Linked DNA regions of Mus musculus: all the other regions are reported to be linked to region 1. The links are microRNA targets in miRTarBase. Many come from high-throughput screens and were not tested one by one. Region 1 holds a microRNA gene; each other region holds the end of a gene's coding sequence.

Evidence for each region. The annotated mature microRNA mmu-miR-466o-3p reads UACAUACAUGCACACAUAAGAC and lies in region 1 at 2,299-2,320, opposite strand. An mRNA with a match to its seed (bases 2 to 7 or 8) in the 3' UTR can be bound and repressed. Matches are read on the target gene's strand: a 7mer-m8 pairs with bases 2 to 8, a 7mer-A1 pairs with bases 2 to 7 and ends in A, and an 8mer does both.
Region 2: the mRNA of Tnfsf10 is a reported target of mmu-miR-466o-3p. Seed matches in the 3' UTR shown: 7mer-m8 at 1,067-1,073 and 7mer-m8 at 2,042-2,048.
Region 3: miRTarBase lists Zscan4d as a target of mmu-miR-466o-3p. Seed matches in the 3' UTR shown: 8mer at 3,239-3,246.
Region 4: the mRNA of Ephb3 is a reported target of mmu-miR-466o-3p. Seed matches in the 3' UTR shown: 7mer-A1 at 912-918 and 7mer-m8 at 915-921.
Region 5: the mRNA of Itpripl2 is a reported target of mmu-miR-466o-3p. Seed matches in the 3' UTR shown: 8mer at 3,062-3,069, 7mer-m8 at 3,059-3,065, 7mer-m8 at 1,517-1,523, 7mer-m8 at 1,507-1,513, 7mer-m8 at 1,455-1,461, 7mer-m8 at 588-594 and 1 more.
Region 6: miRTarBase lists Gabra2 as a target of mmu-miR-466o-3p. Seed matches in the 3' UTR shown: 7mer-A1 at 3,648-3,654.
Region 7: the mRNA of Piwil2 is a reported target of mmu-miR-466o-3p. Seed matches in the 3' UTR shown: 8mer at 1,960-1,967 and 7mer-m8 at 2,510-2,516.

What each region holds. Positions count from the first base shown.
Region 1 is chr2:10,470,841-10,474,908 of GRCm38, reverse strand. Mir466o (microRNA 466o) reads right to left here and starts at 2,369; the gene lies at 2,286-2,369. All of the region lies in intron 10 of Sfmbt2 (Scm-like with four mbt domains 2), which reads right to left. It overlaps Mir669d-2 (microRNA 669d-2), which reads right to left and starts at 3,265; the gene lies at 3,180-3,265. Mir466f-3 (microRNA 466f-3) reads right to left here and starts at 2,956; the gene lies at 2,863-2,956. It also overlaps Mir297a-2, Mir467c, Mir466b-1 and Mir669a-3.
Region 2 is chr3:27,335,086-27,339,153 of GRCm38, forward strand. It overlaps Tnfsf10 (tumor necrosis factor (ligand) superfamily, member 10), which reads left to right. Exons shown (of 5, transcript NM_009425.2): 5 at 137-4,068. The coding sequence ends at 582. Among named protein-coding and RNA genes, the nearest start is that of Tnfsf10, 20 kb to the left of the region's middle.
Region 3 is chr7:11,158,516-11,162,583 of GRCm38, forward strand. It overlaps Zscan4d (zinc finger and SCAN domain containing 4D), which reads right to left. Exons shown (of 4, transcript NM_001100186.1): 4 at 3,128-4,068. The coding sequence ends at 3,406. Among named protein-coding and RNA genes, the nearest start is that of Zscan4d, 5.6 kb to the right of the region's middle.
Region 4 is chr16:21,222,272-21,226,339 of GRCm38, forward strand. Ephb3 (Eph receptor B3) reads left to right here. Exons shown (of 16, transcript NM_010143.1): 15 at 1-33; 16 at 137-1,033. The coding sequence ends at 245. Among named protein-coding and RNA genes, the nearest start is that of Ephb3, 20 kb to the left of the region's middle.
Region 5 is chr7:118,486,345-118,490,412 of GRCm38, forward strand. Itpripl2 (inositol 1,4,5-triphosphate receptor interacting protein-like 2) reads right to left here. Exons shown (of 1, transcript NM_001033380.3): 1 at 1-4,068. The coding sequence ends at 3,383. Among named protein-coding and RNA genes, the nearest start is that of Itpripl2, 3.6 kb to the right of the region's middle.
Region 6 is chr5:70,958,035-70,962,102 of GRCm38, forward strand. Gabra2 (gamma-aminobutyric acid (GABA) A receptor, subunit alpha 2) reads right to left here. Exons shown (of 10, transcript NM_008066.4): 10 at 358-4,064. The coding sequence ends at 3,768. Among named protein-coding and RNA genes, the nearest start is that of Gabrg1, 120 kb to the left of the region's middle.
Region 7 is chr14:70,370,930-70,374,997 of GRCm38, reverse strand. It overlaps Piwil2 (piwi-like RNA-mediated gene silencing 2), which reads left to right. Exons shown (of 23, transcript NM_021308.2): 23 at 562-2,521. The coding sequence ends at 718. Among named protein-coding and RNA genes, the nearest start is that of Slc39a14, 22 kb to the right of the region's middle.

The DNA of each region.
Region 1 (4,068 bases):
CCATTCACTGTCCCACTACTGCATAATCTTGAAAACTTTAAGTCACATATCATTCAAATGTATAAATGAATGCAATTTTTCCTGTGTGTATGTGCTTGCATATACACGTGTGTTTTTGTTATGTATATTCATGTCAACACATGCAATGCACATACAAGTAAGCACACATGCACATACATGGGTGGCATCACATGAATACCAAGATAATCTCCAAATGAAGTTAAGCATGAAGTTGCAATCCTTATCCTCCTGACTTTGTCAATCTTTTACACCTGGTGAGTGAGTCCATTCAATGTCCCCTATTGCATAATCTCTAAAACTCTACATCACTTATCATTCAAAGGGATTGGCGAATGCCATTCCTGTGTCTGTGTATGTGTGCTTGCGTTTATACATGTGTGTGTATGTTATGTATATTCAAATATAGACATGAACATGCACACACAACTATACACACATGCACATACATGGAGGAATCACAGGCTGATCTCTCATGAGGATAAGTATGAATTTGAACTCCTGATACTCTTAACTCTAGCAAGCATTTTCACTCTAAGTCACTTATCACTCAAATGGATTGATGAGTGCCATTCCCATGTGTCTGTGTGCTCATATGTGTCTTATGTGTGCGTGTATGTATATGTATATCATATTCACACATGTACATGTACACACACATCAACACATACACACATTCATAGGGGCAATCACATGAATGCCAGGATGACCTCTAACTCATCATGCCTTTACCATGAACTTGCACTCCTGATCTTCCCGACTCTACCAAGGGTTTTCCCGTGGTTTGTGAGACCTCACCCTGGCCCAGTCATACATAACCTCCAAAGCAGTAGGTCACATATCATTCAAATGGATCCGTGAGGGCCATTCTCGCATGTCTGTGTGCATGTGTGTATAGGTGTGTGTATGTATATGCATAAAATATACACACATATACATGCACGCACTTATGCACAAAGGCACATGCATAGGGGCCATCACATTATTCCAGGATGATCTCTAACTGCTCATGAAGTTAAGCATGAATTTGCACTCCTGAGACTCCTAACTCTGGCAAGCAGTTTTCATCTGGTAAGTGAGATGTTTTGCTATCCCATGAATATACACTCAATGAAACTCTAAGCATGCATAAATCAAATGGATGACTACCATGTGTGTTTGTGTGCACATGTATGTGTCCATATGTGTGTGTATATGTGTATGTATGTATGTATATATATATATATATATACACATATATATATATATATATATATGCATGTTCATATACCCACATTTACATGCACACGTACCTATACACATATACACATACACGGGGACAATCACAGAAATTCCAGGCTGTTCTCTAACTCATCATGAAGTTAAACATGAATTTGAACTCCATATTCTCCTCCCTCTGGCAACAATATTCACCTCCTAACTGAGACATAGTTCTGGCCATTCCTGTGAGTATGTGTGCATACAGCTATGTGCATATTCATGTAGAGAAGTGAATATGCACACAGCTATACACACATGCACATTCTTGGAGGGCATCACATGAATCGCATGCTGATCTCTACTCATCATGAATTAAATATGATTTTGAACTCCTCATCCTCCTGACTCTGGCAAGAGTACTCACCTCCTAACTGAGCCATAGCTCTGGCCCAGTACTGCATAAGCTCTAAAGCTCTAAGTCACATACCATTCAAAAGGATATATGAGTGGCATTCCTGTGCGTGCATGCGTGTATATGCATATTCATATAGAGAAGTGAATATGCACACAACTATACACACATGCACATTCTTGATGGACATCACATGAGTCGCATGCTGAACTCTAACTCATCATGAAGTTAAACATGAATTTGTACTCCAGGACCACCTGACTCTGGCAAGGGATTTCACCTGCTGAGTGAGACCTCTCCCTATTCAGTACTGCAGAATCTTAAAACTCTTAGTCACACGTCATTCAAATGGATCGATGAGTTGCATTCATGTTTGTGTGTCTGTGTACATGTCTATGCGTGTGTAGATATGTATATTCATATACACAATCCACACACAGGTACACGCATGTACACATACATGGGGGCATCACATGAATCCCAGGCAGATTTCTAAGTCATCATGAAATAAAGCATGAATTTGACCTCCTGACCTCCTGATTCTAACAAGCATTTTTAATATGATGGGTGATAACTCTCCCTGACCTAGTCACACATAATCTCCAAAGCTCTCAGTCACATAGATTGATGAGTGAGTGCCATTCCTGTGTGTCTATGTGCTCATATGTGTCTTATGTGTGCATGTATGTATATCATATTCACACATGTACATGTACACACACATCAACACATACACACATACATAGGGGCAATCACATGAATGCCAGGATGACCTCTAACTCATCATGCCTTTACCATGACCTTGAACTCCTGATTATCTTGACTCTGGCAAGGGTCTTTACTTGGTGAGTGAATCCTCTCCCTGGCCCAGTCATACAGAATCTCTAAGACTCTAAGACACATATCATTCAAATAGATCGATGAGTGGCAGTTTTGGGTTTGTGTGCATGCTTGTATGGGTATGTGCGTATGTATATGTATACTCATATACACACATGCACATGCACACATACATATACACACAGGCACATACACTGGGGGCATCACATGAATCAGAAGCTGATCCCGGACTCAACATGAAGTTGAGAATGAATTTCGACTCCTGATCCTCCTGACTCTGGCAAGATTTCCACCTTGTGAGTGAGAGCACTCACTGGCCCAGTACTACATAATCTCTAAAACTCTAAGTCACATATCATTCAAATGAATAAATGAGTGTCGTGTGTGTGTGTGTGTGTGTGTGTTGCGTGCGTGTGTATGTGTGTGTGTATGTATACATATATTCATATACACACATGCACATGCACACACACGTAAACACACATGCACATACATGAGGGGCATAACATGAATGTCTGGATGATCACTAACTGAAATTGAGCATGAATATGAACTCCTGATCCTCCTGACTCTGTCAACAACTTTCACCTGGTGAGTGAGACCGTTCATTGACACACTACTGCATAATCTATAAGACTCTAAGTCACATATCATTCAAATGGATCAATGAGTGCCATTCCTGTGTTTATGTTTATGTTTTTGTGTTTCCGTGCATGCGTGTGTATATGGGTGTGTATGTATATGTATATTCATATAGACACATATACATGCACACACAAGTATACACACATGCACATATATAGGGGGCATCACATGAATCCAGGATGATCTCTTACTCCTCATGAAGTTAAGCATGATTTTCAACTCCTATACCTCCTGACTCTAACAAGGGTTTTCACCAGGTGTGTGAGAATTGACACTGGCCCTGTCATACATAATCTCCAAAGGTCTAAGTCACATATCATTAAAATGCATCGATGAGTACCATTCCTACATGTATGTTTGCATGTGTGTGTATATGTGTGTATGTATATGTATATTCACATAAACACATGTACATGCATACACTTCTGCACACATGCACATAAACGGGGGACATCACATGAATCCCAGACTGATTGCTACCTCATCATGAATTTAATATGAATTTGAACTCCTCATCCTCCTGACTCTGGCAAGAGTACTTAACCTCCTAACTGAGACATAGCTCTTGATCAGTACTGCATAAGCTCTAAAGTTCTAAGTCACATACCATTCAAAAGGATATATGAGTGCCATTCCTGTGTGTGCTTGCGTGTATGTGCATATTCATATAGAGAAGTGAATATGCACACAGCTATACACACATGCACATTCTTGTTGGGCATCACATGAATCGCATGATGAACTCTAACTCATCATGAAGTTAAACATGAATTTGAACTCCAGATCCTCCAGACTCTGGCAAGCGTTTCACCTCCTAACTGAGACATAGCTCTGGATCACTACCGCATAAGCGCTAAAGCTCTATGGCACATATCATTTCAAAGGATATATGAGTGGCATTACTGTGTGTGCATGTGTGTATATGCATATTCATATAGAGAAGTGAATATGCA
Region 2 (4,068 bases), not on the chromosome of region 1:
AAAGTGTAAGAAGGTGGATTTTGGAACCACATTGTGTGCAAGCCCAATGAAAATACTGACTGTGCGGAGCAGTTGAGGTATCTCCTCATTCGATGTAAACGTCTTCCCACTAACTGTTTCTTTTGTTTCCACGTAGTCTCCAAGGATGGAAAGACCTTAGGCCAGAAGATTGAATCCTGGGAGTCCTCTCGGAAAGGGCATTCATTTCTCAACCACGTGCTCTTTAGGAATGGAGAGCTGGTCATCGAGCAGGAGGGCCTGTATTACATCTATTCCCAAACATACTTCCGATTTCAGGAAGCTGAAGACGCTTCCAAGATGGTCTCAAAGGACAAGGTGAGAACCAAACAGCTGGTGCAGTACATCTACAAGTACACCAGCTATCCGGATCCCATAGTGCTCATGAAGAGCGCCAGAAACAGCTGTTGGTCCAGAGATGCCGAGTACGGACTGTACTCCATCTATCAGGGAGGATTGTTCGAGCTAAAAAAAAATGACAGGATTTTTGTTTCTGTGACAAATGAACATTTGATGGACCTGGATCAAGAAGCCAGCTTCTTTGGAGCCTTTTTAATTAACTAAATGACCAGTAAAGATCAAACACAGCCCTAAAGTACCCAGTAATCTTCTAGGTTGAAGGCATGCCTGGAAAGCGACTGAACTGGTTAGGATATGGCCTGGCTGTAGAAACCTCAGGACAGATGTGACAGAAAGGCAGCTGGAACTCAGCAGCGACAGGCCAACAGTCCAGCCACAGACACTTTCGGTGTTTCATCGAGAGACTTGCTTTCTTTCCGCAAAATGAGATCACTGTAGCCTTTCAATGATCTACCTGGTATCAGTTTGCAGAGATCTAGAAGACGTCCAGTTTCTAAATATTTATGCAACAATTGACAATTTTCACCTTTGTTATCTGGTCCAGGGGTGTAAAGCCAAGTGCTCACAGGCTGTGTGCAGACCAGGATAGCTATGAATGCAGGTCAGCATAAAAATCACAGAATATCTCACCTACCAAATCAGAGTGGGTGTGCCCCTGTGTGTATATGCGTGTCTGTGTGTGTGTGCATGTATGTGTGTGTGTGTGTGACTGTTCTTTATGGTAACTGGTTATGTTTTTCTCAAGTGAAAAACATAACTCTATACATGATAACATAATATCCCATCATCAGTGGAACCTTGCCCAAAGAATGTATGAAATCTCCAGGCAATGAATGAGGGCAGCCCAAGAAAGAGGCCCGCAGAGCCATACCACAGGGCTGCCCCACCCTGCTGGAGCTCAGATCCTGCCACTGCTGCAGGCCCTGGGTACCAGGTGTAGAGTTGGAGGAGGTCTTGCCTGTGGGTCTAGGTCTTTGGTGCCTACCTCCTTGATATGGCCCCAGTCCTCCTTTGCTTGTTTGCTAGTTTTATCATGTTTCCCAGGCCGGCCTCAAGTCCAATATGTAGTCAAGAGTGATCTCTAACTGTGCAACCTCCTGCCTCCAAGATCTGCTGAGATTATAGGCATGTGCCCCCCTGTCTGATTTGTGTAGAGCCAGGCTTCTTGTACATGTGACAACCATGCCACCCTCAGCTCTGTCCCAGCTCCATTTCTTCCTTTCTGAATGCAAGCATTTACTTTGTGTCCCTATATTCTAGAATGTGCAACAGTGAAGAATTTGCTCTGACTTTCAGGATAAAGTTTGAACTAGGTTCACCATGCTTGCTTTGTCCAGATTGCGACTGTCACCCAGTCCTCTGGCTCTTCCATCTGTCTGTCCACTCCACCTACCAAGATGTTGAACACTTGTTCTTTTTAAGATGTTGGTGCCTGGAGTTTCATTAGAGTAACACAAAACTAACTAAAACCAAACAACTCCAAAGGAGCCCATATGTGTTTTAATGAAACATTTTTTAAGCCTATTGGGGGCCTGAAGAGATTGCTCAGAGGAAAACAGCACTTCCAGAGGACCCAGGTTCAATTCTCATCGCTGATGTGATAGTTAACAGCTGTAACTTCAGTTCCAAGGGGTCTGACTTTCTGCCCTTTGCTTGCAATGCATGTATGTGATACACAGACATACATTCTGACAAAATATATCCATACACAAAAGTATTTTTTTAAAAGCTTATTTGAATGTAAGAGTATGGCTAGCTGTCACTTCTGATACCCCTTCTTATTTTTTTATGACTCAAGCCCTTATAAACTAGCAAATAGAAGTCACAGCTACCACTTGAATATAAGCACTTGAATACCTCCTCTCACTAGAATACAACATAGCTTAATAGTAAAAATCTTGCCTTAGTAAAGTACTTGCATGTCATGTCTACATGAACCAAATGAATGTATTAATTAATAATAGACATAATGATCACATCGGAAAGGCTGTGAGAAATAATGGAGAACATTTGAAAGCTCAAGATGGAAGGGAAAGGCACTTGTCAAAAATCTTGACAACCTGAATTTGACCTTTGGCAGGGCTGAAAACTAAACCCAGGGTCTTACTCCCAGTAGGCATGAACCCCCACACTGAGCGGCACCACAGCCCTAAGGTTTTAAATGGCAGAAACAACTGAGCGCTTTTCTAATTCCTGGTCCCCAAGTCATCACTGATGGCAAAATTCACAGCACTTCATCTTGTCTGCCAAGCTGGCAAGCGAAATGGTGTCTGATTTCTTTTTTGTTTTTTTAAAGATTTATTCATTATTATATCTAAGTACACTGTAGCTGTCTTCAGATGCACCAGAAAAGGGCGTCAGATCTCATTACGGATGGTTGTGAGCCACCATGTGGTTGCTGGGATTTGAACTCAGAAACTTCAGAAGAGCAGTCGGTGCTCTTAACCACTGAGCCACCTCTCCAGCCCCAGTGTCTGATTTCTAATGTTTGTGTTGAACGTATACATTCTTTGTCTGCTGTTAATTCTATAGTAATCTCCTGTGAAAGATTTTATAACGCCCAGGCCTGGATTCAACCACAATCCAACAGGATCGGAATCCTGGGGTGGTGCTCAGAGATCTTTTTGTGCGTGCATTTTAGTTTTTTAAAGTAATTAGCAGGCAGCCTGCAGGACACATCTTTGCCAAAATGTCAAATGCTGTGACTTATAAATTAAATATTTAAGAATGCAGCATACCCAGAGAAATCATTAGATGTTCAAAGATTTAATTCGTGTGCAACATTAAATGCCATGACTTGTTTAAACAAGCACACCTAAATATTCTTTCTTCTGCTAGAATCTGAAGCCTGTGATGCAGGAAGCAAGAATGGAGAGAATATTCTAGAATAAGAACTTTCTGGGCGATTGTGAGCCCTTTAATAAAAGGCATGAATACTTATCTGTTTGAAAGAGAAATCAATTTGGGGTGGGGGCGGGGGTTGTCCTTTCTTTGCTGAGTTCTAGCCCAACAAGCCATCTGACTTGAAGACTAAGACGAGCCTGCCACCTGGGCAAGCACAGGGACAATGATCCCAGGGCAGAGGCCAGCTCTGCTGTTTTGAGAAGTGTCTAGGCAAAAGCTTTCTTTCTTTTTTTTTTTTTTTCAGACCAAAAGGGGCCTCTTTAATGTCACACACCATTAGTGCCACCAGGTGGCGAGGTTCCCTTAATTTCTTCAGTATCAAGTCTTTTAAAAGTGTATGAGTATAAACATCTTCAAATTCTCGGGTTTAAAAACAAAATCAAAAATGAAAAAAGGTCGCTTACCTTTAGACCATAGGCAACTGGAGCTAAAGACAAGAGATAAGCTGGTGTACCCCGATGGAGCAGCAGGCTTTAACTGAATCTGTGAGGAACAGGGTGGGGCTTCACATGGTAAAACTGAATCTGAGGTGTGTTCTTTTGCCTGTTTGGGTTGTTGCTGTTGTTACTGCTTTGTTTTGTTTTTTTGTTTTTAAGTGAAACAGAATTTAAGTCTTTTGGAAGACTTTTGTAAATTCTCTTGGTCCCAAGGGAGGGCTCTGTGACGTCTGGAGTCTCAACAGTTTGGTCTTTGCCCTGTCTCCTGTTATTATAGACTGTGGCCTTTGCCACTCCATCACTGCCTACTGTTTTTCTTGGAGACAGGGTCTCTCCCATTACGGGCAGC
Region 3 (4,068 bases), not on the chromosome of region 1:
CTATGTAGGATTGAAGAATCTACACTTTGGTCTTTCTTCTTAATCTACATAAGGTATGTGTGTTGTAATGTGATTATTCTGAGTTCTCGGGCTAAAGTCTATTTCTCAGTAAGTACATACCATGTGTGTTCTTTTGTGTCTGGGTTACAACACTCAGGATGATTTATTCTAGTTCCATCCATTTCCCTGTGAATTTCATGAAGCCATTGTTTTTAATAGCTGAGTAGTACTCCAGTGTGTAAATGTCCCACAATTTCTGTATCCATTCTTCTGTTGAGGGACATATGAGTTGTTTCCAGTTTCTGGCTATTATGAATAAGGCCACTATGAACATAGTGGAGCATGTGCCCTTGTTATATGTTTGATCTTTTTTTGGGGGGGGTATATGCTTAGTAGTGGTATAGCACTCTTTACACTATTCCATCTATACCCATAGATAGGAGTGACACTAACAACTCATCAGAAAAATGTGTTTGTGCTGTGAAGGGGTTATAAAACTAAGCAAACTGTAGAGAATGAATGACTCTGTTATGCTCAATCACAAATGTAATAGCTGTATCATTCTCTTTATCAAGGTTTCAGATAACATCATGGTAAATAAAAGGAAAAAAATTCAGAGTCTGATGTAAGAGATTTCTCTCATGGATCTTTCCAAAAGAGAAAAGTAAGTATTCATATTTAAAAACTGGTATTCTTAACCTTCACCTTCCCTAAAAGACATGGTATCCATGTGTAGCTCTGCATGTCCTGGAATTTTCTAATTAATGCTGGCCTCAGCTCAGAGATCGGCATGCCTCACCCTCTTCTACTGGGATTAAAGACATTCATCACCACAGTCTGGTTAAAACTTGTTATTCTTTTTTTTTAATTATTTTATTTTTTTATTTAGTTATTTACATTTCAGCCATTTGGACCCTTCTTTCTCAACTTCTTGAAGAGTGGTTCTCAACATTTTAAATTCTGCACCCCTGTAATGCAGTTCCTCATGCTGGGATGAATCCCAACCACAAAGACATGTTTGTTGCTACTTGATAACTATAATTGTGCAAATTTTATGAAATGTAATGTAAATATCTGACATTAAACCTTATGAGCATGTCATCTAGCCACAATGAGGTTTCCTCACATAGGTTCAGAAACCTGTTATTGAAAGTTGGCCACAGAATCAGAGATATGCCACTGCCCCTGCCTATGCCTATGTATAGGCACCTGCCCTGCCCAGGCCTAAGTACCTGCCTCTGCCTTTATACACTGCTGGAATTAAGGTATTGTAACACCATTTTCTCAGGTTTGTGTGAGATGGTGTTTTGAGGGTTTTTTTTTGTTTGTTTGTTTGGTTTTTTTTGTTTTTGGTATTTGTGTTGTTTGTTTGTTTGTTTTTCCTGTTTTAGGTGGTGGTGATGATGGTAGGCTACTTATTTATTTTATCATTTTGTTTTTAGGAAAGATATGTTGTGAGTCTTTTAACAGAGAATGATTGGATTCTAGTGTTCCTGCTGACAGATGCCAGGTACAAGGATTGCAGGGATTCTCCATATCTGGATAGCACAGTGTTATCATCTGAATTCTACCTATGATGCTTACCTGTACAAGGCTTAATCCCTAACCTTAGGATGCAACCTTATTTGAATATGGCACTGAAGCTAATCCAAACCTCTGAAATCCTGCAAAGGCTATAATCTCAAAATATAGAAAGCTAAACTAAACCAAAAACTCAAATCCATTAAACGTTAATGTTGAAACAATGAGGAACAAAATTATCCAACTTCACTAGAAAAATAAAGACCGGAAAACGAGGCAAATCAAAAGGGTTAGAGAACCAAATGCTGGTGACTCGGTCCAGAACAAGCAATGCCAGCAATAAAATCCTAGGTGGGGAAATGTATAACTTGTGTTGGTATTCATGTCAGCTAAGGCCATTGTGTACTTTTTTTAATATATATCTATTATGATATATTTTCCTCAACTACATTTCCATTGCTATCCCAAAAGTCCCCCATACACTCCCCCCCACTTCCCTACCCACCCATTCCCATTTTCTTTTTGTTTTTTTGGCCCTGGCGTTTCCCTGTACTGGGGCATATAAAGTTTGCATGTCCAATGAGCCTCTCTTTCCAGTGATGGCCGACTAGGCCATCTTTAAATACATATGTAGCTAGAGTCAAGAGCTCCGGGGTACTGGTTATTTCATAATGTTGTTCCACCTATAGGGTTGCAGATCCCTTTAGCTCCTTGGGTCCTTTCTCTAGCTCCTCCCTTGGGAGCACTGTGATCCATCCACTAGTTGACTGTGAGCATCCACTTCTGTGTTTGCTAGGCCCCAGCATAGTCTCAAAAGAGACAGCTATATCTGGGTCATTTCAGCAAAATCTTGCTAGTGTATGAAATGGTGTCAGCATTTGGAAGCTGATTATGGATACTGATCATTGTGTACTTTTAAAACTGAAGCCTTCTAATTGCCTGCTGAAAGGTATCACCAGGAACATCGTGGCAAAGTCATAATGCATCCTCAATGTTTCTACCTGATATGGGAACTTACATAACTCATGGGAATTGCAAGCGCACATACACAGACCCCAACAACTCAATTAGCCTGTGCCTGTTGTCTTCAACTCTGCACAGAATCCTGTTTCTCAACATGACTCTTATGCCACTTCACATTCTTAACATTAGTTTTTTGAAAGTTATTCATGGAAAAAGACTTGCTTTTGTCAGCTATTTTTCATCATGTGAGACAAGTATCCATAAATCCTGCTCCTTGAACCAAGTGCATAGGTGCTCTGAAACCAGAGCTACACAGAATGTCGGGAGAATGATAATTGAACAGGTAGGGGAGGACCCACCAAACTACTCTGAGCAATTGTTGATTATTTTTTTATTTATTATTCCACTTTGAACGTCATTCTAGTAATGTAGAGAAATATTCTTGAACTGTAAGCAGTAGACATGACATGAGATGTCTGAAGAGGCAATGCATTTAACTTGCAACCCTAAGACTTGGGATGAAACCCCAACATGTTAAAAAATGTCAGAGGGAATGGCAGGCCTCTGTCAGGACCACTGTAGAGAATAAAAGTGGAGATCAGAAAATGTTTGGAAACTCTAGTGCCAGAAAGACAGGTGTATAAAGCTGCCAACCAGAAAGACACTGTCTAAAAGCAAGAAGCAACTCAAGAATTAACAGCAAAGTATTCTAATAACTTATGCTGTGGAACTATGGAAATTACAGACAAAAAATTACATACACACACACACACAATAAAAAACAAAACATAAAAGTGGCAATCCACAAGCATGTTATATCATTATTGGGACAGTACAATTTACTTGCAACATTCTTCTCTCTTTGAAGATGACATACTGAGGCTGAAGCCCTACCAGTCTCTGCTGAGGATGTTAGATACTTCAGTCAGATCTGTGGTAATTCCTCAGGTGACGATGGTAAGTGGATGATTGGCGAAAGCGACGGCTACATAGGGAACAGACATAAGGCATTTCTCCTGTGTGAATCATCTCATGAGACTTCAGGTTGGTCTTGTGGCTGAAGGACTTTTCACATGTGCTGCACTTGAAAGGCTTTTCTGGCATGTGTATGATCTCATGGGTTCGGCGGTCAGAGACTCGTTTGAACATTTTCTGACAGGTGACACAAAGCAATTCACTCTTCTTATTCAGGTGAGTTCTCTGGTGGGACGAAAGGCTCCTGGCATGTTTGAACATCCTAGAACATTCTTCACACTTGAATAGTTTGGCATCTCTACGGAATCTCTTTTGATGACTTTCACATGGTAAGTTTGCCTCATGATCCTTACCAAGAAAGACAGGATCAGAGATAGGCTCCTCTTGCCTAGACTCCAACCCTGGTAGCTCCCTAGGGTCTTTTTCAGAAAAACATTCCCCAAGTGACTCTTGCAAGCATGTAGATGTTCCTTGACTTGCTCTTGTAGAATCCTGAGGAACTCCATAAGGAATATCTCCCTCCTCAGGCTCAGAATGATATATTCTCTTGTTAATGGAAAGGGAGTCTGTCTTTTTCCTGGGAATATTATCACTTCTATATACTTGAGT
Region 4 (4,068 bases), not on the chromosome of region 1:
ATCCTTTGACCTGGTGGCCCAGATGACTGCAGAGTAAGTGTACCGCTCAAGGTGCAGGCTCTGGGCAGGAACTCTGGCTGAGCCCAGCGTCGCGGGTAGAAGGGAGGGACTGAGTACCATTTTTTTCTGTCTCTAGAGATCTGCTAAGGATTGGGGTCACTTTGGCTGGGCACCAGAAGAAGATCCTCTGCAGTATCCAGGACATGCGGCTGCAGATGAACCAGACCCTGCCTGTGCAGGTCTGACACTCAGCTCCAACGAGGGGGGGGTGCCCCCCCAGGACTGCACAAGGATTCTGACCAGCCAGCTGGACTTTTGGATGCCTGGCCTCTGGCTGTGGCCCAGAAGATGGAAGTTTGGGGGAGGACCCTAGCTGTGACTTCTCCAGGCCTGTGCTCCCTCCCAGGAAGTGTGCCCCAAACCTCTTCATATTGAAGATGGATTAGAAGAGGGGGTGATGTCCCCTCCCCAGATGCCTTGGGGCCCAGGCCTGCCTGCTCTCCAGTGGGGAGTCTTCACAACTCAGATTGGGCTGCGCTTCAGTAATGGACGTCCTGGTAGGGTCAGGTGGGGATAAGCCTGGGTTCTTCAGGCCCCAGCCCTGGCAGGGGTCTGACCCCACCAGGTAAGCAGAGAGTACTCCCTCCCCCAGGAAGTGGAGGAGGAGACTCTGGGGATGGGGAGATATGGTGCCCCATCCTGAAGCCAGCTGGTACCTCCAGTTTGCACAGGGACTTGATGGGGGCTGAGGGCCCTGCCTACCCTTGGTGCTGTCATAAAAGGGCAGGCAGGAGCAGGCTGAGAAGCAGCCTGTGCCTCCCAGAGACTGACTCAGAGAGCCAGAGACTGTGTGTGTGTGTGTGTGTGTGTGTGTGTGTGTGTGTGTGTGTGTGTGAAAGACGGGGGTGGGGGTATGTATGTGTGTGTTGTGCACATGCTTGCCTGCACAGAGAGCATGAGTGTGTACAAGCTTGGCCCTGTGCCCTGTAGTGGGGCCAGCTGGGCAGACAGCAAAATAAAGGCAATAAGATGACTCTTGCCCCTGCTCGTTCTTCCTCCCAAAGCAGGTTTCCTTGATTTCCTCATGTCAGTGAGGGAACTAGGGGGCTGCTAGACCTTCACAACTTCCTGGGGGTCAGTGGGAAACTACAGCGAGGCTATCCAGGCCCGATTTCTCCTGTAGTTCAGCCCCATTGCTTTGAGCATCTAATAGAGTTCTCAGAAGTTCCTTGTTTCTGGGGCTGGGGGACAGGCTCTGGAGTCTGCGTGGTGTTCTGTAGAGTCCCTGAGGGAGAGCTAGAGGGTTAATCACTCCCCAGGGTCTCAGTATGGCTCCTCTTCCTTCACTAAGCACTGAGTGCACCCAGTCTTGGAGCCAAAGCCAATTTTACATCCACATCTTATTTCAACTCAGTAACCCAGCCAGGAGAAGAGGGAGATGTTTAGTAAGTTGGCCACAGTTCCCATCCAGCACTAGAGCCAGAGGCTGGAAACCCCTGTCTATAGACAGCCTGGAGAGGCTTGGGAGATGCATATCAAGAGTCCGGAAGAGGTCTGAAGTCTCTGGAGTCAAAGGAAGACTTGTGCGTGTCAGGATATGGAAATGAAAAGGGACATCCATGATCCTGGGTAATGGAATGGGCTGGAGGAAGTGAGTGTATGCACCCTGGGTCTGTTTTAACCAGTGGTGGCAGGGTGAGAGTGCAGGGGAGGACACCCTCACAGGGAGAGATGCAGGTCCCTTTGGACCAACAAACAGAAGCGGGCAGGGTATAACAGATGCAGTCCTCCCAGAGTAACCATAGGTGCTGCCTAGAAGAGCTTTCTGAAATATCTGTGAATCCTAACTTAGAGTGCCCTTCACTGGGAGGGACCAGGAAGGCCTAGTAACATGGGCATGTACAAGGGTTGTCAAGTGTGGCCACCTCAGTCTGGTGTTTCTGGCTCCTCCTGGGTCCCTTCACCAACCCCTGGCAGACAGGTTCTCAAGACTGCCTCTCTACCCCTTGCATTCGGTGCCCAGAGTCCTGCAGTACATACTCACCGTGAGGGGGGTGCACCCACAACGTGGATCCTCAGTAGCCCCCATGCTCCAGGGAGGGGGTGGGCAGGAGCTCCCCAGTCATCTTCCAGTGCTGTCGTCAGTGGTGTGGGCATAGGGGTACAGGAGAAGGGATGTGGGCATGGTTGCCATTCCCTTGCTGAGAGTTCACAGGTCCCAAGCCTGCTTCCTACTCTTGGGAGGGTGGCCCTCTGGATCAGTGAGAGGTCTGTGGCTCCTGTCTCCTGGGTAATTTTTCCATTGTCCCACCCCACACAATGCTGACTGTGGAGATCCACTCAGAGCGAGGCCAGGATCTGCAGGGTGGACTGGAGCCTAAGGCTAGAGGTGCTCAAGTGCTCTTCCAGCTCCGTCCAGCCCACTGAAGCCTGCATGATTTCTTTCTTTATGGGGGTATGAATGTCTTCCCCTGTCTTCCCACAGTCTCCTGCCACTGTCAGCCAGAGTACATGCACGTACTCTAAGCCTATTCCATTATCCACACACCACTTACATTACCCGTTTTCATGCCCTCAGTCTGTCCACCCTAGCCCCCCTCTTAGCCTGGGTACCTGCAGGGTTTCCCAGGACTCAGAAATAATGAGGGGAGGGGCCTGCAAGAGTCACTGCATTCCTGCCAGCTGATAGAGCCAACTGGTATTTTGTCTAGAGAGCTGGGATGTATTCAGACCCTAGAACCTCAGAACAAAGTAGTGAGGGAAGCAGGGTCTTGGCAGAGGAAGAGAGAGCACCCCAGGAGGGGTCCAGCTTCCCTACAGGCAGATAAGGAGTAGGGGGGGATGGAGTTCTCAGTCTGTCTAGTCTTCCGTTAATTACACACTCTGGGGCAGATTAGCTCTCCCCAGTCAATGATTTAAAAGAGAAGCCAGTGGGGAAGAGGGGAGAGGCAGGCCCTTTCCTGCTGAGGCCAGGTGCTGAGTAAGACCTGGGGTAGTGTAGTGTAGTAGGAAGCGCAGCCTACACAGAGCCCAGGCCGGGTGTGGAGCAAAAAACATCCTCTCTCTCTCTCTCTCTCTCTCTCTCTCTCTCTCTCTCTCTCTCTCTCTCTTCTCTCTCTTCTCTTTCCCTCTTCCTCCCCCCCCCACACACACACACAGACACACACACACAGACACACACAACGTGACCTAGGCAGGTTGACATCAGAGCCGTCCATCATCTGTAAGAAGTATATGAATCTTTCTATCCCATGAAAATGTTACAAATGCCCAATCGTATTAATAAATGTAACATCTGTATGATGGTACGTGCTAAGAAATGTTAGCTCCTTTTTATTGTTGCTATTATTTATTAATGTGAAACTTGAAGGAAATATAGAAGCCGTCAGAAGTGAATAGTACTTGGTTTGTAACAGTCAAATACAGCAAGGCCCTGGGAGTGATGCCAGCCTCAGTCTTGGGAGGAAAAGATGAAAAAGCTAAGGAGCAAGGAAAGGTGGGACTGAGGGACACAGAGGTACAGGATTCGCCCAGCCCTGCCCCTGGGTGAGTTGCTGGGACCTGAGTAGTTTAAAGTCAGTAAGAGTTTAAAAGATGGTGAAGGGCAAGTTGCTGAGGGTGGAGCTGTAGGGACTCATTCCTCAAGCATTTGTTGGGTGTCTGCTACCACACTGCAGTACTGGGATGGGCACTAAACACACAGAGAAGCGAGGGGAACCAAATGCTTGCAGGAACCAAGAGAACGGCAGGAATGAGATTCAAACAACCACAGAAAGGGCTGCCCATGATTACAAGTCAAGAAACGCCACAGAAGGCAAGTTGAGGTTTGTGGAACCCCATCAGCAAGGCTGGGGGCTCTCACCAGTTATGGGATGCCCAGCAGAGGGAGCTGGGACCCCCCATGACCATCAGGGTGCTTCTGTGTGTCCAACCTTCTAGTGTCTGACCTTGAGTATTCTCCATCCATACCCTCATTTACTTATTCAGTGCACACCTGTGGCACAGGTGGGGGTGTGGCTCCCTCTACAAACCAGTTCTAGTTCCAGTGAGGGAGCTAAGAACTGGGGC
Region 5 (4,068 bases), not on the chromosome of region 1:
CCCTACCAGCCTACCAGGAACTGGGATAAATGTTATCTGTGGCTGTATTTTGTTTTTTTTGTTTGTTTGTTTGTTTTTTTCTGCTGTTATTCCTATAACAAAGCTTAACTCTGAGAGATAAAGTAGAAATGAACTAACACCCCCCCCCACACTTATATATATTTAACCACTGTCTCTATGGCAAAGAATATAAGCCTATACATACCTGGGAGAAGGCTAACTGTGTAAGGCAAGGGGTCGCAAACTGCTGGCCTCAGGTTCAACCAGATATCTGGCTCACTTGGTGGTTTCAGACTTTTTAAATTACTTCTTAAATTAAAAACCAGTGAGCGTTAGTATTTTAATTTGAAATGCCGATTGTTGGCCCAGCCCTTTATTTTCCAGTCTGGAGCTGAGGTGAGCTGCCTCCTTTAAGGTAGGCACAGTCCCCACACCCTCCACCCTCTTATTTATCTCCCTGCCTTTAGGCTGCTAAGTTTGTAACTCCTGACCTGAACTAGCACATACTTAAAAACACATTTCCTCACCCAAAACTCTCTCCCACCCTTGAGGTGTCTTCACCCTTCTCCCTCCCAACTCTTCCTTTCACATACACCTTAAGACCTCCTCCCCACAAATCCTCAGAGAATATTTGCATCCATTCACACTGTCCTCTCCTTCATTTGCAAAACGCATATTCTCCCAGCCCATGAGCATTCCAGGAAGGCTCCGAGCTGGGCAGTGGGAATTACTGAGGTGTCTGGACGCAAAAGAGCTGAGTCATCTTCCTCAAAAAAACGATTTTCTTTGGGCACTGGCTAAACAACTCTTTTTATTTTTTGGTAGAGCCATCGTATCTGAGAATATTGGCATATATGACTCTCCAGCACCAAATATACACCAAAGGTGTGTGCATGTCAGATAGAGGCCATGACAGTAGCCATATGAAATGCAGAACTGAGCTGAATTGAAAGGCCTTGGGCAGCCACTGGACTCAGTTCAAAGCCGTATTATTGCATCTGTACATAGTACATGTTTCAGATCACTAAATATTGATCAAAATTGATCGAAATCTCTTGTTTTTGTTGCCACATGGCAAGAACAACTGTTCAGCATGGCATTTAAATAAAACATTAATATTTTTTAAAAAATTTACAAACACAATGCCCATTAATTTAATAATAATAATAAACTTTAAAAGTTTGAGGATGGATGAAGCTTTGGGTAATTAATACAAAAAAAGAAAAAACCCTACAAGAAAGATACGTTTATATAAGCTATTCATATTTATGATCCTAACCAGATTTATACTTTAAAATATTATCAAGACTTTTTAAAAAAGGGATTCCTTAGCTAGAAATTTCTAGCTAAGCTAGAAATAGCTGGAAATTTGCCTCTCCCCTGTTCTAACTTAATGACTACAGAGGCAGCAACAGGCTGAATGTAGAAATCATGTGTGCATTATACACACAGACACATACACACACACAGATACAGATACACACAGAGAAACACACAAACACACAGACATACACACACATACACATGCACACACACACACATGCACAATCTTCCCTTGGCATTGGCTTTTTAAAGTAATTAAAATCAAACCGACTGTGCAGTTTCAATCTTTGCAAGAGGCTGACAGAACAACCCTTTCATCCAATGCCGTACCTTATAACCAAATATTGGCCTCAAAAAAACGAAGAATGATCTCTGGGGTATCAAGAGGGATGGCCTCCAAAACAACTCTCTTTCAGTCAGAGTTGCAAAGGACAAATGAGAAGTCCCTACACTCTATTCCCCTCGATTGCCAACCGGGTGCCCCAAAGAGAGTTTGCAGAGTTCCCTCCACATAGCTAAGAAATGAAACAATGACCCCATTCATGTGACTATTTTTATCTTCCAACTTTCACTTTAAGGAGTCTAAGGGAGCTCAGATCTTTGTTGTTAAAAAAAAAAAATCCCTAAGTGTATTACTGAGACTGGCCACACTTCCCACGAGGAGAGAGGAAGACGAAGCTTTCTAAACTTGAACTGCTATTGGAAGTTGTCTGGAAGGCAGGAGGATAGGAGGCACTCGAGGATGGGATCCTCCCAACAGCAAGGGGCGCCCAGGCCAGGGAAGTTCAGAACTGAGAAGGGCAAAGACTGTAAGCCAGCTCCCTCTTTTCTCCCTCTGCTCCTGTCGCCTATCTCTTCTGCCCACTGCTGGAGACTGACAGGTCTCCAAGCACACACCTCATGCTACTATTTTACAAGTCATAAGCAGAAGCAAGAATTGACTGGCCTTCAATACGATGTAAGGCTGCTTAGGCAATCAAGAACCTCCCAGCCACTACCCCGATATCAGACATCACTGGACCCTACCCCATTCCCAGGCAGCACACCAAGCATTTTCTCCTCAGAGGTCCTTATGCTCTGAGACAAGCCTACGGGGCCTTTGCTCAGAGGCTCTGAGACCTAAGTGGGTTGTATCCAGCCTACGATGAGCCCTAGGCAGGAGCTTCTAAAAGACTTATGTTCTACACTTTTGCCAGACCTGTCTTAATCAAGGATCTTTCCCTCTGCATTCTGCCTGGCTCAAATGAACAGGTATTGAGTGTCAAGTGCAAATCCCCACCTATGACCTGGAGGAGTGCTGATGGTGGCTGGCTGGCTGCTTTTCAGAGCCCTGGTCTTTCAGATAACTGTGTGGAAGCTCTTTTGAATAGCCCTTGGTTCCAACAAACACAGAACAAGAAAATGACTAGACATAAAGTGCCACTTGCTCTGAAAGTCTCTGACCAGCTCTTGGCCACCTCTTAGCATTGGTCACTTAATTTATAACAACTCCATTAATCTTATTCAACAAACCTGTGATTGCACCACTAAAAAATACATGCATGCTCATGGAAATAGCTAAATCAGGACTCTGGAATGCTAACAGCTGGACTAGAATTTCAATTCCAGTTGTGGATAATTATTCTTTAAAAACAAAACAAAAACTAACAAACAAAAAACTGGGAGCCCAGGATGTAGCTTTGTGGTAGAGGGCCCACCTAGCATAGGGATCTAGGATTCTAGCCCCAGCATTGAAACATACATACAACACCCCTCCAAAACTAGGGATCAATTGGGAACCTAGTATTTACCAAATAAGTATATCAAAGGTGATTGCTTCTAATAATTCGGGGTCAGAGACATCTGTGTATGAGACCACCCAAGATACTCTAATAGGTCTGCAGAAGATGCCACTGATATCTTAGGCCATAGAGCCTAGGACAGAACATTTGTGCCATCAAATCCTGTGACATCCTTCAAATTTTCCCACACCTTGAACAGCTCTTCTTGAATTTAGCTGCCATCCGCTCTCTCATCTCATGGGAAAGGGGCATTTGGTCAGGTGGAGTGTAATCAGGGTTCATGGTTCATCTTCAGGGGAGCCCTGGATGCGTTGACTCCGGGGTGCTGGACACCTGGCAAGGTAGCGGGGACCACCGTAGACTCGGAGAAGCTGGGGCAACCTTCGCCACGTGGACAGCAACCGCGCTGCTGCAAGCTCCCGGGAGTGCGGGTCGAAAGGCGCCAGGAGGTCAACAGGAGCGGCCTCCCGCAGCACCTTGGGCAGGGGGCCAACCTCGGCAGCCGCCCCAGTCGGACCTAGGACACAATGGAAGAGATCTCGGCGTCTCAGCAGGCAGTCCCTAAGGAACTTCACCAACTTCTCCAAGCACTCACTCAGGTGTGCCTCGTCCCAGCTGGGCGTTGGGCTGCCCTCGTTCAGAAGCACCTCCAGCACCGCCGTTTTGAGCACGTAAGAGGACAGGATACGTCCCCAGTGTGTAGCAGCCATCGGGTCCAGCCCGCGGGCACCCAAGTCTCGAAGAGCCTTAAGCAGCTGCAGGCACTTGAGATAGCAGGCACCTGGAGGCGCCCGTTCCTGAAGCCAGCCCAGCAGTTTCTGCTCCTGACGTGCTGTGTTCACACCCCACAGAGCCTCGGCGCGCAGGCCACCCGGGAGCTCTGACAGGGCCCCGCTAGGCGAGGGTGGTGGTGGTGGTGCCACAAGGAAGACGCCATCACCCAGGTGGACAGCAGGGATGAGGC
Region 6 (4,068 bases), not on the chromosome of region 1:
CTTCTGGTCCATATGTAGCAGATATGCAGCTTGGTTTTCATGTGGTTCTCAAACAACTGGAGTGGGGGATATCCGAAAACCCATTGCCTATATATGTAGGATATGTTCTTCTAGCTTGGCTCCCTTGTCTGGCCTCAGTGGGAAATAATACTTCTAGCCTCATGATGACTTGGTGTGTCAAGGTAGGTTGGTAGGTAGGTAGCTACATAGATAGATAGATAGATAGATAGATAGATAGATAGATAGATAGATAGATAGATAGATAGAAGATAGATAAATAATAGATTGATGTTAGACAGACAGAAATATAGACAGACAGCCAGAGACATGATAAAAAATAATACCCAAAGAAAATGTGAGTGAAATAATGTTTTGTTTATTTTAAATAAATTGTAAACTATAGAAGGGCATTTTTAGAAATATTATTGAAGAGTTTACTTATCCAGATGTGTTTGAATTTGTAATACATCTCTGAAAATATCTTGGAAAATTAGGATTGTCAAGTAAAAAGAATGGATATTTTCTGTTCACCTCTTTTGCTGTATTTATTGTTATTGAAAGTAGGAGAAAAAGAAGCACAGCCCCTTTTAGTAGGTCTGTAGGTCATAAATTTTCAGTATTAACTTAATTGACATCTTTATATGAATTAGGCATTTATAATAAAATAATTATATGTTTGCTTGGAGTCTGTGTCTGTTATATGACAGATGTTTTTTATAATAATATATAAAAATATGCCAGAGTCCAAGACCCAATAGGAAATTCTGAAAGACACAATTGGGACGTCTAACTTATCATAATGTCATTAAATTCATATATTATTCTCATGACTGAATTGAAAATTTTCAGCTATGTTATTTCAATTAATGAAAACAGTAATGTTAATTTTCTACTCTGTCTGCCATAAAAAAAACAAAAATCAATAAAAACCTTGAAAAGTACTGCCATCAACATAACCCCAGCACTTTGTTGAAGATACAAATGGATCTTTTCTGTCTAACTGTCAAAACTATTTAGAACCATTTTTACATATGTACATATTTATAATAATGTAAGCTATAATGAGACACTCAAAGGGTGGGACAGAAGTATAGCTACTCATTTTAAAGATGTATTTTCTTTTCTCAATTAGTTGGGTCATGGGGTATGTGAACACACGTGTAATGCGATCTAAGGAGTCCTACAGAGAGTGTCAGAGCTCCTACAGCACATATCACAGGTAATTGTGAACTACTATGTGGGTGCTGGGAACTTGAAATCACGCCCTCTGCAAGAGAAATATGTGCTGTTATCCTCTGAGCTCTCTCTGCCACCCTAAACTGTTCTTAACGTCTGGGCAACATTCACAATGGAGAGCAGCTTACCATTTGCCTTCAAATGTCACACCACTTCACACTTCTGTACCCATCCTGAGCCTATTCACAAGAGCCTTTGTTGTACAGATTTGTTTAAGAAACCAGGGTATATTTTATTTCACTAGATGGGCAATATTCACACTCTAAAACTCGTTTGGATAATAAAGATGTTACTGAAAGGGAATTAACAAAATACATTTATTGGCTCGTGTAATACTTTTATTAAGGTTGATGGATTACTTTTGATTTTCGTGAGGAAGGTTTTAAGGTCAAGGTTGTCTTCAGAGCGAATTCTGTTAGTAGGATGAAGCTGTGACCCTGGTATGAGTACAAATCATGCAAAAACACACAGTGAAATCATACTTGAATAGAAAACGGGGCAGCTGAATGAGGCAAAGAACAGCGAGGTTTTTTTTTTTTTTTTTTTTTTTTTTTTGGTTGTTGTTGTTTTTGTTTTTTTTTTTTGTTTTTGTTTTTGTTTTTGTTTTTTTGCTGAGAGTTTGTTTCCAGAAGGTGCTCCTTTTATTGATGTTGTGAACAGACCTGGTTTGCACTCTACTCAAATACTGTACAAAACTGCAAGAAACGCCACGATTTGACTACTTAATTTCTACAAAAACATCATCGTGAGGTTGCGTTTTATTTTAAAAGTCAACTAATAACTGCTAATGTACACATCGGTCATAAGTAAATTTAGTTTTGACAGAAACACAGTTAACTTTAGCTTATTTCAGGGGCATATTTCAGGGGCATAAATAATATTTCATATATTAAAAGAAAAATGAATTTTTACCCATTAACAATCAGTAATTTTATAAAATTGAAAACCATGTTTTCTAATTTAGCTATGTGAGGTGTGTGTGTGTGTGTGTGTGTGTGTGTGTGTGTGTGTGTGTGTGTGTGTGTGTGTGTGTGTGTGACATAATCTACAATCTTTTGATAGTGTCCTAAAGTCATTGTTTAAAAATGTTCAACTCTTACCAAAACCTCTTCTGGTATACAAAGCTGCTGTAAATTCGAGTCAATGAAATTGAAAGTTCCAATTTACAAAAGCAGATTTACGTTAATTCTTGTCTGAAAAAAAAAAAAAAGCTGCTTTCCAGACAGAAAAATGTGCCAACTAACTGCCCTTTCCTTTAAAATTAGCGGCTTCTGAGCCCTGATGAGAAGCCTTAAGGCAGAATTTGCAGTAAACAGGAAAGAAGAGAATCGTATAAGTGCTCCTCTGTACCTGGGACACCTATGAATTCTCATTCTTGGAGTTTTTGGCACAGCTTTCTAATCTGATATAAGTGAACTTCACTGCACTCCATTTCAGCCAAGATGGCAGCTTTCTTCCTTTCTCCAGCACCAGAAAAGTTCAGCTGACAACACATACCTGGAAAGTCCATATATCATCATCATCATCATCTTCTTTTCTTCTTCTTCTTCTTCTTCTTCTTCTTCTTCTTCTTCTTCTTCTTCTTCTTCTTCTTCTTCTTCTTCTTCTTCTTCTTCTTCTTCTTCTTCTTCTTCTTCTTCTTCTTCTCCCTCTCCTCCTTCTCCTCCTTCTCCTCCTTCTCCTCCTTCTCCTCCTTCTTCTCCTCCTCCTCCTTCTTCTTCTTCTTCTTATCCTCCTCCTCCTCCTCCTCCTCTTCCTCCTCCTTCTTCTTCTTCTCCTTCTTCTTCTAAATTTTAGGTAGTTTCCAATGATTGAAGTGAGCTGAAAGGTTCATTACTACTTTCAAATAAACTCTGAAGCTAAAAATAGAATGACTGTGACATTCCAATAGTTATTAAATTTAAATGTAATTAACATCCTTTCATGGTGACTCATAGTTATTTGAGCTTGTCATGCTTGTAATATGTACATGGCTATAGATATGCTACATAGTAATTAAACACTGGTTTCACATCTCTAGCTTTCTCCTTGTGTGTGTCAAGCTTCCAATGACACTAGCAGGGGTTCTAAACACTCCTAAAGCAACCAGGCCAGAGGTTTGGCTGTTTCATATATTTGAGTGGCAATATTAATCTCTGATCATCCTTAGGCAACAGTAGAAATATTTTTCTATGTAATATCTAAATCAAAGGTTTCCCAAAGTGTGACATGGGATCCCGACTTTCATTATAATTAGAACATTAAGAAATAAATAATGGGATCTGAAACCCACTTTAAACTAGTTCCTAGGTAAATGTGTTAAAAAGGCAATGGCTCTTTTGGCACGGGATGTTTTCTGCCTGTATTTCCATGAGTTAGCAAATGCAGGTCTCCTTTAGAGGTCTACTGTAAGCTCTACCATTATATATATATACATACTATACATAGTGGGTCATAAATTAGCAGTTATTAGTCAGACTGTACAAAGCAAAAACCAAAACCAAAACCAAGTATAACATTGCTATACAGCCCAAAAGTAACCAAGTCTAGTTTCATGGACTGACCCCTAATACAGGCTCCCTGTTTAAATAGGTAGCCCAATAAACTAAATTAAAAGTACCAAACAGAACTGGGAACACTATTCTAGACATCCTGTCGATTTTGCTGACACTGTTGAAGGTTTTCTTGGCTTCAGCTGGCTTGTTCTCTGGCTTCTTGTTCGGTTCTGGCGTCGTTGCACTTTTGGAAATGGTAGAGAGGACAGGATCTTTGGAAAGATTCGGGGCATAGTTGGCAACAGCTACCGCATAGGCGTTGTTCTGTATCATGACGGAGCCTTTCTCTTTTTTCTAA
Region 7 (4,068 bases), not on the chromosome of region 1:
ACACACGTATGGTGTTTTGCCTGCATGCATATATGTATACCACATGTGTGTTTGGTACTTGTGGAAGTCAGAAAAGGGTGTCAGATCCCCTGGAACTGGAGTTACAAATGCTTGTGAGCTGCCTTATGGTTGCTGGGAACCAAACTCGGTCCTCTGGATACCATCACACTTGTGCTGACTTACTTTACCCATCCTTTGGCTTATGTGAAAATATAAACAACTCCAGATGAAAAATAATGGTTTCTCTCTTGGACAGACCTAGTGGCTCACACCTACAGTTCCAGCACTTGAGAGGCTGAGGCAGGAAGATCACTGGCAACTCAAAGCCCACCTGGGCTAGTGGAGTTACTAGCCAGCATAAGCCAGATAGTTGAGAACCTGTACCCCAAACCAAACTAAAGAAAGAATTATAAAACTAACAATTCCTGAAAAACAACAGTAGGTTTCCCAGACTCCCCCAGTCTGTTGGTAGGAGTGCTGTGTTGTATCCCCAAGAGAGTGAAATCCTTCCCACCCCTAGGTGGAGGTAGAAGTGATAACACATTTTCTTCTTAACTTTAGGTTGACTTTCAAACTATGCCACATGTACTGGAATTGGCCTGGTACCATCCGAGTTCCAGCTCCTTGCAAGTATGCCCACAAGCTAGCTTTCCTGTCCGGACAGATTTTGCATCATGAGCCAGCCATCCAGCTGTGTGGGAACCTGTTCTTCCTGTAACTGGGAACTTGGACACCGGCTGCAAGGAGCAACTGGACTCAGCTCAGCTCCTCCTTACAGAATCAACAGAAATGGCAGTGGAATTTTATGTTTGCATTTTCTCTTTCTCCATCCTTGTAGAATTAGATTTCTGTTCTTCTTTTAACCCTGATATCATAGTAGGGTGTTGTGGTGCATGCCTTTTATCCCAGCACTTGGGAGACTGAAGCAGGAGTATCTTTAGTTCAAGGCCAGCCTAGACTACATGGTGAGTTCTAGGCTAGCCAAGATTACAGAGTGAGACCCTGTCTCAAAAAACAAAAACAAACCACTGTCCCCTCAAAGCCCACAACAAAACCAAAGCCTGGGGTCAAGGAAGCAAGTTTGTAGGTAGCCGCTGGCTGCCCGCTGCCTTCATGGAGTGTGTGCCGTCAGCGCTGCTTCTCCTCAGCCGAGCGTGGAGCTTCGGACAGGGCAGTGATGACATGTTCTTAGCATGTCAAATCCCCCTACCAAATAAGTCAAGCAAGGAAAAAATAGCCCCCAAGGCAGCCTGAGCATCAGTTCCTAGAGGTTATGCCTACAGAACCATCCTATTTCTGGTGGCAGAAGTGACATGAAGTCATTGCAGACATCTTAAAGGAGAGTTACTGTGCAGCTGTCTACATGTGTGAAAGACATGTAGAAAAACCAGCGTAGGGTACAGTCGGGCGTATGTGCCCACCTGACCCAGGGCTGTGAGTCTGACTTCCCGAGAGTCTGGCTAGAGCTGCTTTTCTGGTCCTTTTGGTTATTTGCAACCATCATCAGATTGCTTTCCTGCAGCCCGACTGATACACGCATGTGCGCACGCACACACTTTTGTTCTTTGTGACTAATCTTGAATAAATTCAATTAGAACACATGGAAAGGATTCAGCAGACCTAGGAACATTTGGGGTGGAGTGTAGTTTTTCTGCAAAAGTCTGTAAATGAGATTACGCAAGAGTCTCTTCCAGCTGTGGGCTGGTGTTGCTTGGAAAATTTCAAAATCCCAAAGTTTCAGGCTTCCCAAAGTTGGCTTGGAAAAATGTGATAGTCTCACCTGAGTCTAGACATGTAGGAAATTTTCCTAGGGCCTCTGGGCTTCAGTATTTGGGGGAAGCACTGGTTTTCTGTGTTATTTTTTTCCTTCTGTTTCAGAATCTTCAAGTTTCTTCAGGCTTCAGTGGGCCATCCCTTTACTGGGCTCTAAAAGCTAATTTTACTTAACCTTTTCAAATGTGTATGTATCTATTTATGTTTTGGTGTGGTGGATGGATGGTAGGGGACTGAGCAGAAATAGTCATTTTAAATAACAGTGTGCTAGGAGAGCCTCAGTGTGAAGTCCTGAGGAGCAGCGGGGGCTGTGGGAGTCAGTGTCAGCCCTCACTCAGACAGGCCAAGCCTGGGCTCGAAGACAACATTGTCCAGGGAAGCCTTTAGTTTGCTATAGCACCCAGAGGTTGGCGAGGAATAAGGGTTAGGGTCCTCAAATACACCCATGGCTTTTGGAGTCTATGACCAAGGCCAGGCTGAGACCTGAAATGTAAAAGCCATAGAATTAAACAGAACAGACTGAAAAACGAGTCTTAAGTTCCACTTTCTGGATTTCTCTGGAAGTCTTTTGAATTTGTCTGTAGAAGTTGCTGTTCCTAGCACTCCTTTTCTCTTTAGGTAGAACAGATACTTGACCATAATGCCAGAATGTACTTTCTCTGCCTTGGTTTTTCTATGCCTTGTTTTTCAGTTTCAGGGCCAAACAATTGGGCCCTGTGGTGTAAAATAAAAACAATGTATGTGTATAGTTGTGTCTGAGAGAATATTGTTTATTAAGTGGCTTTTCCTTCAAAGAGAAGCAAAAGTTAGAGTTATTCCTTTATTATTGTGCGTGTCAGGGGCAGCACCATTGGGAACAAAGTGATTTCACCCTGAGCAAACTGGGAGACCTACATAGCAATGCATTAAGTTTGTGAATGTGTTTGAATCATTTGGGGCTTTGGGTAAATAAGAACCCTCACCAGCTTACTAAGAGAATACTCTCCACTAGTATATTTTCATCAGGGTGCTAAAAAAATAAATATAATTACTTACTTATTTTATTGATTGATTGATTTTTCAAGGCAGGGTTTCTTTGTGTAGCCCTAGTTGTCCTGGAACTCACTATGTAGAATGTAGACCAGGCTGGCCTCAAACTCAGAGGTCCACCTACTTCTGCCTCCCAAGTGCTGGAATCAAAGCTGTATGCCAACACCACCTGGCTTGTTAGTTTTTCTTTCTATTTTTAAAATCAATTTATTTATTTTTATTTCATGTGCACTGGTGTTTTGCCTGCATGTATGCTTGAATGAAGGTGTCAGATTCTCTGAAACTGGAGTTACAGGCAGCTAGAAGCTGCCATGTGAGTACTAGAAATTGATCCTGGGTCCTCTGGAAGAGCAGCCAGTGTTCTTGACTGCTGAGACATCTCTCCCTTTGTCAGTCTTTCTTAACAGTTACTGTTAGCTCAAGAAAGAACCAGTAAGCTTTCGCCAGAAGTGACCTCTCTACCATTAAGAATTTTTTTTAAGTTACATTTATAATATGTAGGGAGGCAGGGAGATAGAGGTCAGGCCTCAAGGTCCAACACTTGGGAGGCAGAGTCAGGAGGATAAGAAGTTCTCGGTCACCTTTGACTATATATTGAGTTTGAGGCCAGGCTTCAGACATGAGACCCTATCTCAAAAAAAAAAAAAGCACACCAGTAAGATGGCTTGCTGGATGAAGGAACTATGCCCCTAGCCTGATGATATGAGTTCCAGGAACACACACACACACACAAACCCCCAAATAAATGTCCCTGTTAAGTACACTTTCTGGTGTGTCTGTAACCATTGGCCCAGTGACAGTAACCTGCCTCATTGTTTTTATCACTTCCAACCACATGCCTTTACAACCCTGCATTTCTTTACATTTGTTAAAGAAACTCTATGTTTTAGAGGTCTTGTTTTGTCCCCTTCCCCTTGGTTTTTTGAGACAAGGTTTTTGTGGTGGTTTGAATAGGAATGACCCCCGTAGACTCATGTGTCTGTATGCTTGGCCACAGGGAGTAGCACTATTAGGAGGTGTCCTTACTGAAGGAGGTGTGGCCTTGTGGGAAGAAGTGTGTCACTGTGGAGGTGGGCTTGGGTTCAGTTATGAGCACACACATGGTGACTCACTACAATCTGTAACTCTGGTTTCAAAAGATCTGCTGCCTGCTGATCAAGCTGTAGAACTCCCAGTTCTAACAGCACCATGTCTGCCTAGAGGCTGCCATGCTTCCCACCATGATGGCTAAAGCTCTGAAACTGTAAGCCAGCCCCAGTTAAATGT